3 linked regions of the Caenorhabditis elegans genome follow. The protein of the gene in region 2 purifies or fractionates together with the protein of the main gene of each other region. This does not show direct contact. Each region holds a gene or a part of one and is shown on either strand. Other genes may lie near its edges.

Region 1 (3,446 bases), on a different chromosome or scaffold from region 2:
CAAGTCCTCCTCCGTTAGGTGTGTGAGAATCAGTTCCGATGAGAAGAAGTCCTGGGAAAGCGTAGTTCTCAAGAATGATTTGATGGATAATTCCAGATCCTGGCTTCCAGAATCCAACTCCATATTTGCTTCCAGCAGTAGCAAGGAAGTTGAAGACTTCTTTGTTGAGGTCCTAGAAATCGAAATATATTTAGGGTGAAGAAAATTTAAGTAAAATAATTTTTTCGCAAATATCACAAACCTTAGCACGGGCCAAATCTTGGGCTCCACCCTTTTGAGCTTCAATCAAATGATCGCAATGAATAGTTGATGGAACAGCTGTCTTTGGAAGTCCGGAGCTGATGAATTGGAGCATAGCCATTTGAGCGGTAGCATCTTGCATAGCAACACGATCTGGACGAAGACGAAGGTATGAAACTCCTCTCTCAATATCTTGAGTTTTTGGTTGATCCAAATGTCCATAGAGAATCTTTTCGGAAAGCGTCAATGGACGTTTCAATCTGAAACAATATATTTTTTGTTTTTATCAGTAGAAAAACTAAAATCTATTTTTAAAGTTTTTAGTTAGACTTAACGATGTTTCCTTCATGAGTTCAAAGTACTGTCACACGGCAAATATCACCTCGGCTTCAAAGTTCGACCAGTCTGGAGACTAGAGAATGTGGTCCACATGAATTTCTATGCAACGTTCAACTAGATAATTTTCATAATTTCTATTGTGACATCACAATTAATGACACCAGAAATTAGATTTTGCATCATCAAAAGTTGAAAAGAATAGTGATGTACACTTATGAAACTGTATTATGGTCAAAACGCCCTCTCACAACATGTTGACATTAATCAGAGAACAGAGATGGAAAAGATTCGACGTTTTCTTGGTTCTCTCAATGACGCTCTAACCCATCTTCTTATTACAACGGAACTCTGTTTGTTTCTCTCTGCGACCCTTGGCTTGTGACTGCGATTTGGGTGAGCTTTCACTATTCGAGAGTTAGAAATAACATAAAAGAACCTATAACTGAACTGTATGTGTTGTAATGTCAGTGGCGCACATGACTATTCACCATAAACATCATTAATTGTATGATAACGAACAGAAAGCAGTGAAGATACTTTGTACTTGACAAGCTAAACAAATTGAACTTTACACACCTGTCTTTCACAATCTTCACAGTCTGAGATAGTTTCTCGTACGGGAGGTACGACTTCGGCTCGAATTTACTGATTGCAACTTTGCTCTGAAAACAAAAGATTTATAATAATTATGCTTAGGTTTGAATACCCAGATGGACGAAGAGGAGTGAAGTGCGCGATAATGTGCAGGTCCAGCCAAGTGGCTCAACCGAAGAAGAGAATTCATGGTTTCTCCTGTAAATTACAGAACAATGAAAGATTTTCACAGAAATTCCTGTCCGACAAAGGGAAAGAAATAGAACCTATTTAAAAAAATTAAAAGAAAGGATAATATTCATAAACACAGGCCTAAAACTTAATTTGGAACAATTAAAAAGCTTTTCTCTGCAGTAAATAACCCCTCGGAACGAAAACAAGTGATTCCGCAGCGAACCGAAAAGAAAATGATAACGCATCGGTCAGCAGAGACGGCGTGCATGCCGAAAATGAATGGGAGGAGAAATGAAAGCGCGAAACTTGGGCGCCTCCGGTCAGCAAACACGCCATTGAATGATCACTGGCGCTATGCTCGTTTGAAGGCGCATGGGGTTTCGACAGACTTTGAGTCTCGCAACGATTTTATTCACTAACCTATTTGTAGGACTTTTAGCATCATTCCTTCGTGTTTCACTCCTGAAAAGATGGTTGCCGACGTCAAGAGCCCAGCTGGACTTGCTGCTTTCAACACTACTCTCGCCGAGCAGGCTTTTGCCACTGGGTTAGTCTTTAAATTCTGAAGTTATGCAATTTTTAGGAAAAAATGCAGAAAATAGGTGTAATCAACTCTTGTAAATTTTTCAGATAGTCTATTCATTGAAATAATTTGAAAATTATAGCTTCGTCTTGTCTGGAGAGGACGCCCAACTTTTCGCCGCTCTCGGATCCGCCCCAAACGCCTCCACCTATCCAAATGTTGCCCGTTGGTACGCTAATGTAGCTTCTTACACTGATGCTGAGCGCAAGACCTGGGCTTCCGCCGGAGGATCAGCTCCAGCTGCCGCTGCTGCTGATGGAGATGACTTCGATCTTTTCGGATCCGACGATGAGGAGGAAGATGCCGAGAAGGCAAAGATCGTTGAGGAGCGTCTCGCCGCTTACGCCGAGAAGAAGGCCAAGAAGGCTGGACCAATTGCTAAATCTTCAGTCATTCTTGATGTAAAGCCATGGGACGATGAGACCGACCTCGGAGAGATGGAGAAGCTCGTTCGTTCTATCGAGATGGACGGACTTGTCTGGGGAGGAGCTAAGCTTATCCCAATTGGATACGGTTAGTGGATTGAAATTCACACAATTAAAATTTATGTAAACTTTCAGGAATCAAGAAGCTCCAGATCATCACTGTTATCGAGGATCTCAAGGTTTCGGTTGATGACCTCATCGAGAAGATCACCGGAGACTTCGAGGATCACGTCCAATCCGTCGACATTGTCGCCTTCAACAAGATCTAGAGGAATCTTTATATTTCTTGTTATGTTTTCATCAAGATAAATGAACCCATATATTGCAAAAAATGTTACAACATTGAAAGAAACACTCTGAGCATCAATAAGAAATCCTCCCGACTACGAAAGCGAAAAAAATTGTTTTTTAAAGAACTATGATTAAATTAGAAGCACAGTTCATTCTCTTCTGAAAATCGTATGAAGTCTCATAATTGCACAAAGTTACGATATAAGAATAATTGGAAGGGGTAGACTGAAGTGGGCAGGGTCACCACTATACAGTCCAGATTCCCGTTCGCAACGAGACCATATATTTTTACCTTGTGGGAAAACCAATCGATGTTTTCTAATAGTAAGTAGACCCCGCATGCTGTTCATCTCGAGATCTCTTCTCCCCATTTTGTATTTCCAGTTATTCAAAAAAATGTCACCTTTTCGTTTATTATCACTTCCTACACTTGCTTTGAAGAATGTACTTCTTCATATAGACTTTATTGATTTGTAAGTTAATACTTTATATAATAAGACAAACACCTTGAATTCAGGTTGGAACTATCACTTGCTTCGAAAAAATGTGAAATTTACATGAAAACTTGCTGCTTAAAAATTGATTCCTTGCATTTTCATTTTCGACGTATTCAACTAAACTCAAAATCCAAATCATTAGAGTTTGATTTCAATTCTGTTGTCGATATTTCTGCGTGTTCACGAAAAGTCAAGGGCAGCCGATATGACGCATGGTAAGTGTTGGGACATATAATATATGTACATATATTTCATTCAAGTTACAATTAGGTTGGTCCTCGCTTAACATCTGAGGATTCTGGC
Region 2 (3,367 bases):
TGTTCCGTGTTTTCAACTTCCTCGGTGACAGATGTGTCTTCTGTTGCAACAGAGCGTCTTGATCTTCCCTTGCGCGGTGATGTTTCTTCAACGCCAGAGTCGCCAACAACATTCTCCGTAGGATCAATTACTTCATCTCTGTCTCCACCCCTGGAAGATCGACCACGCCTGGGGGTGCTGTTACTAACAATGGGCGTTTTCGTTTCATCTGCATTCACTTCCGATTTTTGCCCACGACCACCACGGCGTGGAGTGTTTGACGAAGGAGTAGACGAAACAGTTGCTGAAACTCTTTTAGCGCGACGAGTGCTGCGGCTAGAAGATTGAGATTCTTGGTTCTCTTCATTTGCTTCTGATTCTCCATCTGGCGATTTTGAATCGAGACCAATTTTTTGAGAATCATCAACACTGTCTTGTGAAATCTCACCAACGCCTGGTTCAGACGCCTTGTCATCATTAACATTCTCAATAGGTTCACCACTATCTGCTTGCTCTTTCACTGGACTTTCTACTTCAACCTCATTTTCGGGTTCCTCTGTATCGTCCTCATTCTCTGGTTCTTCTTTCTCGTCGCTCACACTACCTCCTTTTGGAGAATCATCTTCATGCAGATCGTCGTCATCTGACGTTGACACTGCCTTCTTCAATATTAATTGATTAAAATTAGGTTTTTCGAATTATCAACAAACCTTAGTTTTCTTTTTTGGAGCTTCGTCTTCGTCGTCTTCTTGCACATCATCAATATCTTCTTCATCTTCATCTCCAACCACCTTTTCTTCATTTTCTTCAGGTTTCTCGGTATCATTTGAAACAGAAATCGATTCAGCAATGTCTAATTTATCGTCACTAGTATCCATCGAGATAATTTTTTTCTCGAAAGTTTCTCCCTCTCCTTCTTCAATTGGTGATTCAGACTTTTCCGAGTCGTTCATGCTTTCTCCAGATTTAGCATCCTTACCGGCTGAACATTGTGGCTCATCTTCTGCCTTTTCTTTATCAAGTGCAGTAACATCGGCAGCTACATCTGGCTCGTCTTCCGCTTCTATGATAACTGATGACTTGGTAATGACACTCGAATCGACTATGTGCCCATCAGGAGTTGAATCTCTAGCTGGGGTCTAAGTAAGCAAATTTTAGATTAATACAAACACACTGGACTTACAGAAATCACAGCAGAGTTCCCAAAAAGACTCCTACTTTTATCCAGAACTGAAGTTGTTGTGGGGAGGCTGAAATAGTGGGATAAATATGTATGGATACTCGAAAAGCAGGTAACCTTGTCTGTGTGACGGTGGAGTCGTCTTCTTCGAATTCTGAAAACAGAAAATAAAAGGAAAACTTCACGTAAGTTAAGTTTAATTTTTAGAGTCGATATTCACTTCGAGTGACCACCTTAATTTCAATAAGGTTGAATTTTATATGCTTGACCCGCAAAAATATTAATTAACCTTTCACATTCTTATTATATCGAAAAAATTACCCATAGTGTTCGAAGACGATGCCATTTTCCTCCAAGCAGTTCAGTTCTTCAAGTCTATGCTGTAACATATGTGTTTAATTTTGCCATTTTAAGCGTAAAAGTGTCTGCGAAACAAAAAGTTACGACGTCAAAAAAAATCGTTTGAAAATTCAATTCAAACGCCCGCCCCCGCTGTTCAAAAAATGTACTGAGTGTCGCCCGGTGCGTTGCGGTCGCGTGCCGAGTCGCTACGCAGCCAATTGGTATGCAGGTTATGTCTTACGATCAGCGGTGAAGAATTTTTTCGTTTCTTTTCCTACAGGTTTTTTCAATTTTTTGACGCGATTTTCACGGTTTTTCGAGTTTCTATGTATTGATTGGGAGGAAATATGTTACGTTTACAGTTTTCTTAAATAATATCCACTTTCTGAAGCGCTTGTTGTTAAGAATAGTTTTTTTGGCAGTGGGTTTTCTTTCCGTCTTCTAATATACGATTTTTTCAAAGCTATACTTTTCCTTTTCAGGTAAAATGACGAGAGCGACCTCCATCAAGGACGTCGACCAGCACGAGGCTACCAAGTCCATCGCTCACTTCTTGAAGAAGAGTGGAAAGGTTAAGGTTCCAGAGTGGTCCGATCTTGTTAAGCTCGGAGTCAACAAGGAGCTTGCCCCAGTCGATCCAGATTGGTTCTACACCCGTGCTGCCAGTCTTGCTCGTCACTTGTATTTCCGCCCCGCCGGTAACTTTTTATTGACAAAATCATTACTTATTTTTCTATTTAGGAATCGGAGCCTTCAAGAAGGTCTACGGAGGAAACAAGAGACGTGGTGTTGCACCAAACCATTTCCAAACCTCAGCTGGAAACTGCCTCAGAAAGGCTGTTCAGCAACTCGAGAAGATCAAGTGGGTTGAGAAGCACCCAGACGGCAAAGGAAGAATTCTCTCCAAGCAGGTGAGTATTCTATTTTATTATCTAAAAATATAAAATTCGAACTTTTTTGTAAAAATAAATTATTAAAAATTATTCATAAATATATGCGCTGAAAATTAAACATGCAAAATTAGATGTTTATATTAAAATTAAATTTCTGCATGTTTTCTTTTTTGAATTTTCTCGAAATTTTCAACATCGTACTAAAACTAAATTTTGCAGGGACGCAAGGATCTTGACAGAATCGCCACCAGCCTCAGATCCTCTGGACAACAAGCCTAAACACTCGTTGTTTGTGTTATAAATGTTGTTGTTATAAAAAACTTCATGATACATCTCCATTAACAAGAAAGTAAGATGATGGCGCAAATTATGAATCAGAAAAAAAAGTTATTAAAGAAAAACTTCGCCCGAAACGTTTGAATATATACACCTGTATAGTTCTCACTTTTTTGAATAGTGAAATAATCAGTCTACAAAATATTATACGTCTTTAGTGGACCTTAGAACAAAGCTACAGAACTTGAATACAATCATTAATATATCTACTTGCTCTTCCGAAATCAAATTTGAAACATTATTAGCAGAAACTAACTTCCTATTCTGATACCCAAATTATTTCGCTAAACATCGCGAAAGGCATTTCTGATAAAGAAAATAAAATACAGGGTTAAGCTATTTATGGTTTCACAAACTTGCGATCAATTGGAAGTCGGAAAAATTTTAAAGATTAGTTATCATACAACGATAGATACAATTTTTAAATGAATGTTGGTGGACATTTATTTAGATGTAGAAAAGCGGAATCTAGCAAGTTCGCATGCGAACTTCTCGTTGTGAATTGCCGTGAACAAAATGTTCTTCTTATCTTGGGAAATCTGGAGCAATGCACACGCACCTCCGTGCCAAACAGTCCTACCCGGAGTAGATGATACCTCGCCATTCGATGAAGTTCCTGATACACCCGAACCAGATC
Region 3 (4,639 bases), on a different chromosome or scaffold from region 2:
AATCATTTTAGAGTTCTTCACGGAGAACAATATATTGAAGTCTATCAACCACTTTCAGCAGAAGGAAAATTGAAATCTGAAGCTAGAGTCGTTGATATTCTTGACAAAGGATCCGGTGCTTTGATTCTTGGAAATGTTACCACTTATGATGAAAATGGAAAGAAGATTGCAATGCAACAATTCAGTACTTTTCAAACCGGTTCTGGTAACTTCGGAGGGGATCGTACATCACCTCATGAAATAAAAGCTGCCACTGTCCCAGATAGAGCTCCAGATGCAGTTATTGAACAAAAGACAACAGTTGATCAAGCTGCTCTTTATCGTTTGGGATCAGGAGATATGAATCCTCTTCACGTTGATCCAGAGTTTGCTAAGATGTCTGGATTCAAAACTCCAATTCTTCATGGATTGTGCAGTCTGGGATTTGCGACACGCCATGTTATCGCTGCTTGGGCTGGAAATGATTCTGACAAATTCAAAGCAATCAAGGTAGGTTTGATTAAATTTAACTTTAAAATATTTTCTGCTGATTCAAAAATCATTAATTTTCAGGTTCGATTCTCATCGCCAGTGCTTCCAGGACAAACATTGGTTACTGAAACCTGGAAGAATGGAAAACGAATTATTTTCCAAATGAAGGTTAAGGAAACTGGAAAAATTGTAATTTCCAACGCCTTTATTGACTTGCACGAGGCTTCCGAACTTCCAACAGTTCCAATTGATCTTGCATCAAAATTGTAAAAATTTAAAGAATTATTTATTCACTGGTAAGATTAAGTAGATCGTATTAGTTTTATCGTATTTTGTTTCCTGAATATCATATGTGAATAAACCGTTTTTTTCTTTTTCCACAAATTCTCTTGAAGATTATTATTTCCTTTTCTTCTTCCCAACAATATCATTGACTCCTGGGAATGTTACACCAACACCTGTATTCACCCCAACACCAGCCATCGGAACACCAACTCCAAAGTTTGTACCAACTTGACCATTTAGATAATCAACTCCAACGTGTTGATTCTGTTGATAATAAGGTCCAACTCCACCTCCAACATCTACGCCAATTGGTTTTCCAGCCTCTCCAGGTTTAAGGGGAACACTCACCTGAAATATTTTGATAGGAACTTATTCAACTTGTCACACACCGCTTCAAATATTAAAAAATGTACGCAATGCTTCTCTAAACTCGAATTCAAATTATGAACCGCCAAATTTGAAAAAGTTCGAGTAATAAATTTTCTGCATTAAAAAAACTCACAACAGCATGTGTGTCTCCTTCAATACCAAGTGATTGTACAAGTGGAACACTCCATCCAGACTTATATCCATATTTTCCTTCATACCAATTTGCTCCGATTTCTTGATATTGTGACCAATAGTCTCTTACACCAATATGATCGGAATAACCTCCTCCCCATGAACCAAATGGAACATTCATGAGCCTTCCTGCTCCAATTGCTCCTTCTTCGTTAATTGGATAGTACGGAATTCCTTTCACACTCCATGTTCCCAAGTTGAGACCTACATTTGAATCAAATGCATATGCAATATTATAAAGTGGATCTGACTTTGGAAGGAATCGTTGACAATCCTAAAGTAAAACCATTCAAATATAATATAAATTCAATTTCTAGAAACTCACATGGAAGTATCCCTTACATTTGCTTCCATACTTTTCCTCTGTCTTATTCCCACCGAAACAATGCTTCCTGACAGTTGGTAAAAATCGATTGCACAGTGCTTCCAAGTGTAAAGCTTTTCTGTGTACATCTGCATCTTCTGGACGTGGTTCAATTGCTGATGGTGGTCTATTCACAATCATTCCTCGAACATCAGCTGCCTTTGCCTTCTGATCAATCTGTGACTTATCAGTTATACCTCCAAATGGTGAACTGAAATATCAGACGATTATGAATATTTTCTGAATTATTAGAGGTACCTTGGTCTCTGAGATACTTCACTGTTATCAATATCAGCTCGATCAACTCCAAGAGCAGAGCTCCTCAATCCAAATTCTTCCATATTTTGTGCAAATCGTTGTTTTTCCTTTTCTTGTTGAGCAAGAAGTTGGTTATAACTTTAAAATAAAGTTTTGAATATTTCCAAAGTTTCAATTACTCACCGACTAACATGTGTATTAATTGCATACTGCTTCATTCGATCGAAATAATCCTGATAATATTGGTCTGAAGCAGCCTGTCGAGCCTTATTCGCTTCTTTTCTCTGTTGTCTCCATTGTTCCATCTGTCTCTCGTAAGCATCATCGTAACTTGGACGCCGATGTCTGGAACATATAACTTATTTCTGGATCTTCAATTATCTCGCTCACCTATGCCTTCTTCTAGGTTTTTGGGTTGTCTGTTCTACTTGTCCCCGTGCGAATTCACTTGGAGAATGATTATAAACTGGTCTTCCAGGTGATGTGTCTCTAAATTGATTAAGTTATAAGACAATATCGGAATTTTTTTGGCAACTTTTTTACAGATTTGTCGAGCATAAAATTAATATAAAATTTGAAAAATATACTCACAAGACTTGTTTACGCTAAAAGACTTATCTATAAGTTTATTAAAAAATTCCGCGGAAATAAAAATTTTCAATAACTTTTTCTTTTTAAGCTTACTTTGAAATTGGAATTGGTTCACCTCCATCCTGAGGTCGAGCTTCACTTCTCCAAATCAATAAAATGAGGAATGGAAGTAGTTGACGAAACATCGTCAAAAAAGCTGAGAAGACAAAGCAGTACTGAGTTTAACTGATAAGGTTAGTTAGCAACAAAATAATGATTACTGCAGAGGGTTTCTCGACGTCTTCACTTCAAGTCAACCGCCCGTATGACCTTGCTGACCGGTAGAAAATAATAGATGATGTTGTAGTTTGTATAGCCTCCTATTGTCTAAGCATTGATAATAATCCTATGGTTTGTGATTAAGAGAATGATTGGAATTACATTGTGAACCAAGTGCGTGTGAAATCAAATATAAAATAAATTCCCAGAATCCTTCGTGTTGAGTCATGTTTTTTAAAGGGTTTTAAAATCTCAAATTATCTCAAATTATCTGAAAAACTTTCAAGGTACTATTTCGATAATACTGAAAATGCTTCAAAAAATCAGTTTCCCCAGTCGGGAATTTTTTGATATTTCTGGGAAAAAATATGTTTGTTAAATACAAAAAAGTGTACACCTTTAAGGAGTACTGTAGTTTCAAACTAGAACAGTTTTCATCGAGTTAACAGAAAAAACTGTTATTTTTTTAATCGAGAGAAAAACAATGAAAAAATGTGAAACTACAGTACTCTTTAAAGGCACACACTTTTTTGTATTTAATAAAAATGTGTCGTGTCGAGAGCAGATCCCGAATTTCTGGCTCAAAAATCGAAATTTTCGCGTATGTGACAGAACAAAAAATATTTTCTTCAATTATAACCAATACGAGGTTCACAAAAATAATAATTTCCTCTCATTCTGTCAGATATAGGCGGGTGTACCCTTTACAACAATAGTGACAGGCGAAACCCTCAAAGTGTCTGCCGCATCAAAGCGGGTGTATATATAAACAAGAGGAGAAGAGGGAGAAGGCCGCATGACGGCAAGGCGAGTACTCGCAGCCACGAAACGTTCCCTGTTGAGCGCGCTAACTGTGAGCGAAAGTCCCTGGACCACTGGCAGAAAGTGTCACCCTCTAGGTTGGGTACTCTTTGGAGTTTTAGTCATAGCACAGAGACGCTCCTTAGAACAGCATAGGGCCTACTCTGATCGTCATGCTTTTGCAACATTTTGAAAGTCGACAGGAAACGGTGCTCTGTGAACCATAAAATATGTTATTTCCTCTATCAAAGAGCCCTTTGACACTTATGCTCACGACATGTTGACTCTGTAATACATATTTTTCACTCACAAGGCTTCTTTAAAATTCCATCACGCTGTCTTCCATCTAATCCTAGTGATATTCGTCTGGGATGGCAAAAATTAATAGAGAATGTCGAGAGAAGTCTTTGCCAGCTATCAGATTAGTGTCAGTTGATATCCACATTTTTTTAATTCTTATTAACATTTCGAAATTATTCCAGAAAGCCTGTCGATTACTTTTCGGATATTTCCGATTGGACAACATCAAAAAGATACTACGTTCGGAATAGAGATATTGTAAAAGAGAATATTCGTTTAATAAAGTCGAGTCTCCCACGAGATCCTGCTGTTCGAAAGGTAACTCTATAGGGCAAATTCGAATATGAGAGAAACAGTTTAGAAATACTGCGAGAGCTTGTATTAATTATATTCCAAAAAAAAAATCGTTTCCTAAACTTCAGGTACCTCCATTCTCCTATCAATCGTATCAACAAAATACAAGTGTTGTCCCATTACCAATGATTGCTCCCAGCCGTACCAGAAGCGTTGATTCTAATGTTAGTTTTCCTTTCTTTATTTAGATTCATTTATTTTTCTTCAAACGTTTTTAATCGTTTAGCTATCAGGTATCTGATGACTGCAGTCAATTCCGAGCACTTTTCTCTCGTGGAGATCTTCATGTCAGAATTATTCATTCAGGAGGAGCCGGTGAAAAGTGAGAGAATTTCAAGAGCAAAAAAAAAAAGATAACTTTTAGACCTCGGGAGTTGCGTTGGGCAAAGGATCCAT

What was found. The genes of interacting proteins can lie anywhere in the genome.
Region 1: the proteins of rps-19 (region 2) and eef-1B.1 fractionate together in Caenorhabditis elegans (co-fractionation; one large-scale study listed by BioGRID). This does not show direct contact.
Region 3: the proteins of rps-19 (region 2) and E04F6.6 fractionate together in Caenorhabditis elegans (co-fractionation; one large-scale study listed by BioGRID). This does not show direct contact.

What each region holds. Positions count from the first base shown.
Region 1 is NC_003281.10:7,971,642-7,975,087, reverse strand, and holds eef-1B.1 (putative elongation factor 1-beta/1-delta 1), read left to right. Parts: upstream 1-1,701; 5' UTR 1,702-1,817; coding exon 1,818-1,894; intron 1,895-2,012; coding exon 2,013-2,443; intron 2,444-2,490; coding exon 2,491-2,624; 3' UTR 2,625-2,706; downstream 2,707-3,446. Other genes in the region: aco-2 (putative aconitate hydratase, mitochondrial), read right to left, coding at 1-172, 242-500, 1,156-1,241, 1,286-1,363; F54H12.5 (uncharacterized protein), read left to right, coding at 2,986-3,119, 3,164-3,358. UniProt on the Caenorhabditis elegans protein: EF-1-beta and EF-1-delta stimulate the exchange of GDP bound to EF-1-alpha to GTP.
Region 2 is NC_003279.8:9,624,413-9,627,779, reverse strand, and holds rps-19 (Small ribosomal subunit protein eS19), read left to right. Parts: upstream 1-1,983; 5' UTR 1,984-1,988; coding exon 1,989-2,199; intron 2,200-2,242; coding exon 2,243-2,412; intron 2,413-2,613; coding exon 2,614-2,673; 3' UTR 2,674-2,712; downstream 2,713-3,367. Other genes in the region: Protein hsr-9, read right to left, coding at 1-641, 690-1,118, 1,163-1,229, 1,277-1,313, 1,481-1,505; T05F1.2 (F-box associated domain-containing protein), read right to left, coding at 3,174-3,367.
Region 3 is NC_003280.10:7,196,651-7,201,289, forward strand, and holds E04F6.6 (uncharacterized protein), read right to left. Parts: upstream 2,916-4,639; 5' UTR 2,716-2,915; coding exon 2,624-2,715; intron 2,429-2,623; coding exon 2,330-2,428; intron 2,285-2,329; coding exon 2,123-2,284; intron 2,078-2,122; coding exon 1,940-2,077; intron 1,893-1,939; coding exon 1,643-1,892; intron 1,592-1,642; coding exon 1,259-1,591; intron 1,105-1,258; coding exon 871-1,104; 3' UTR 742-870; downstream 1-741. Other genes in the region: maoc-1 (MaoC-like domain-containing protein), read left to right, coding at 12-489, 553-741; pcrg-1 (Parkin coregulated gene protein homolog), read left to right, coding at 3,961-4,016, 4,072-4,207, 4,312-4,407, 4,477-4,565, 4,608-4,639.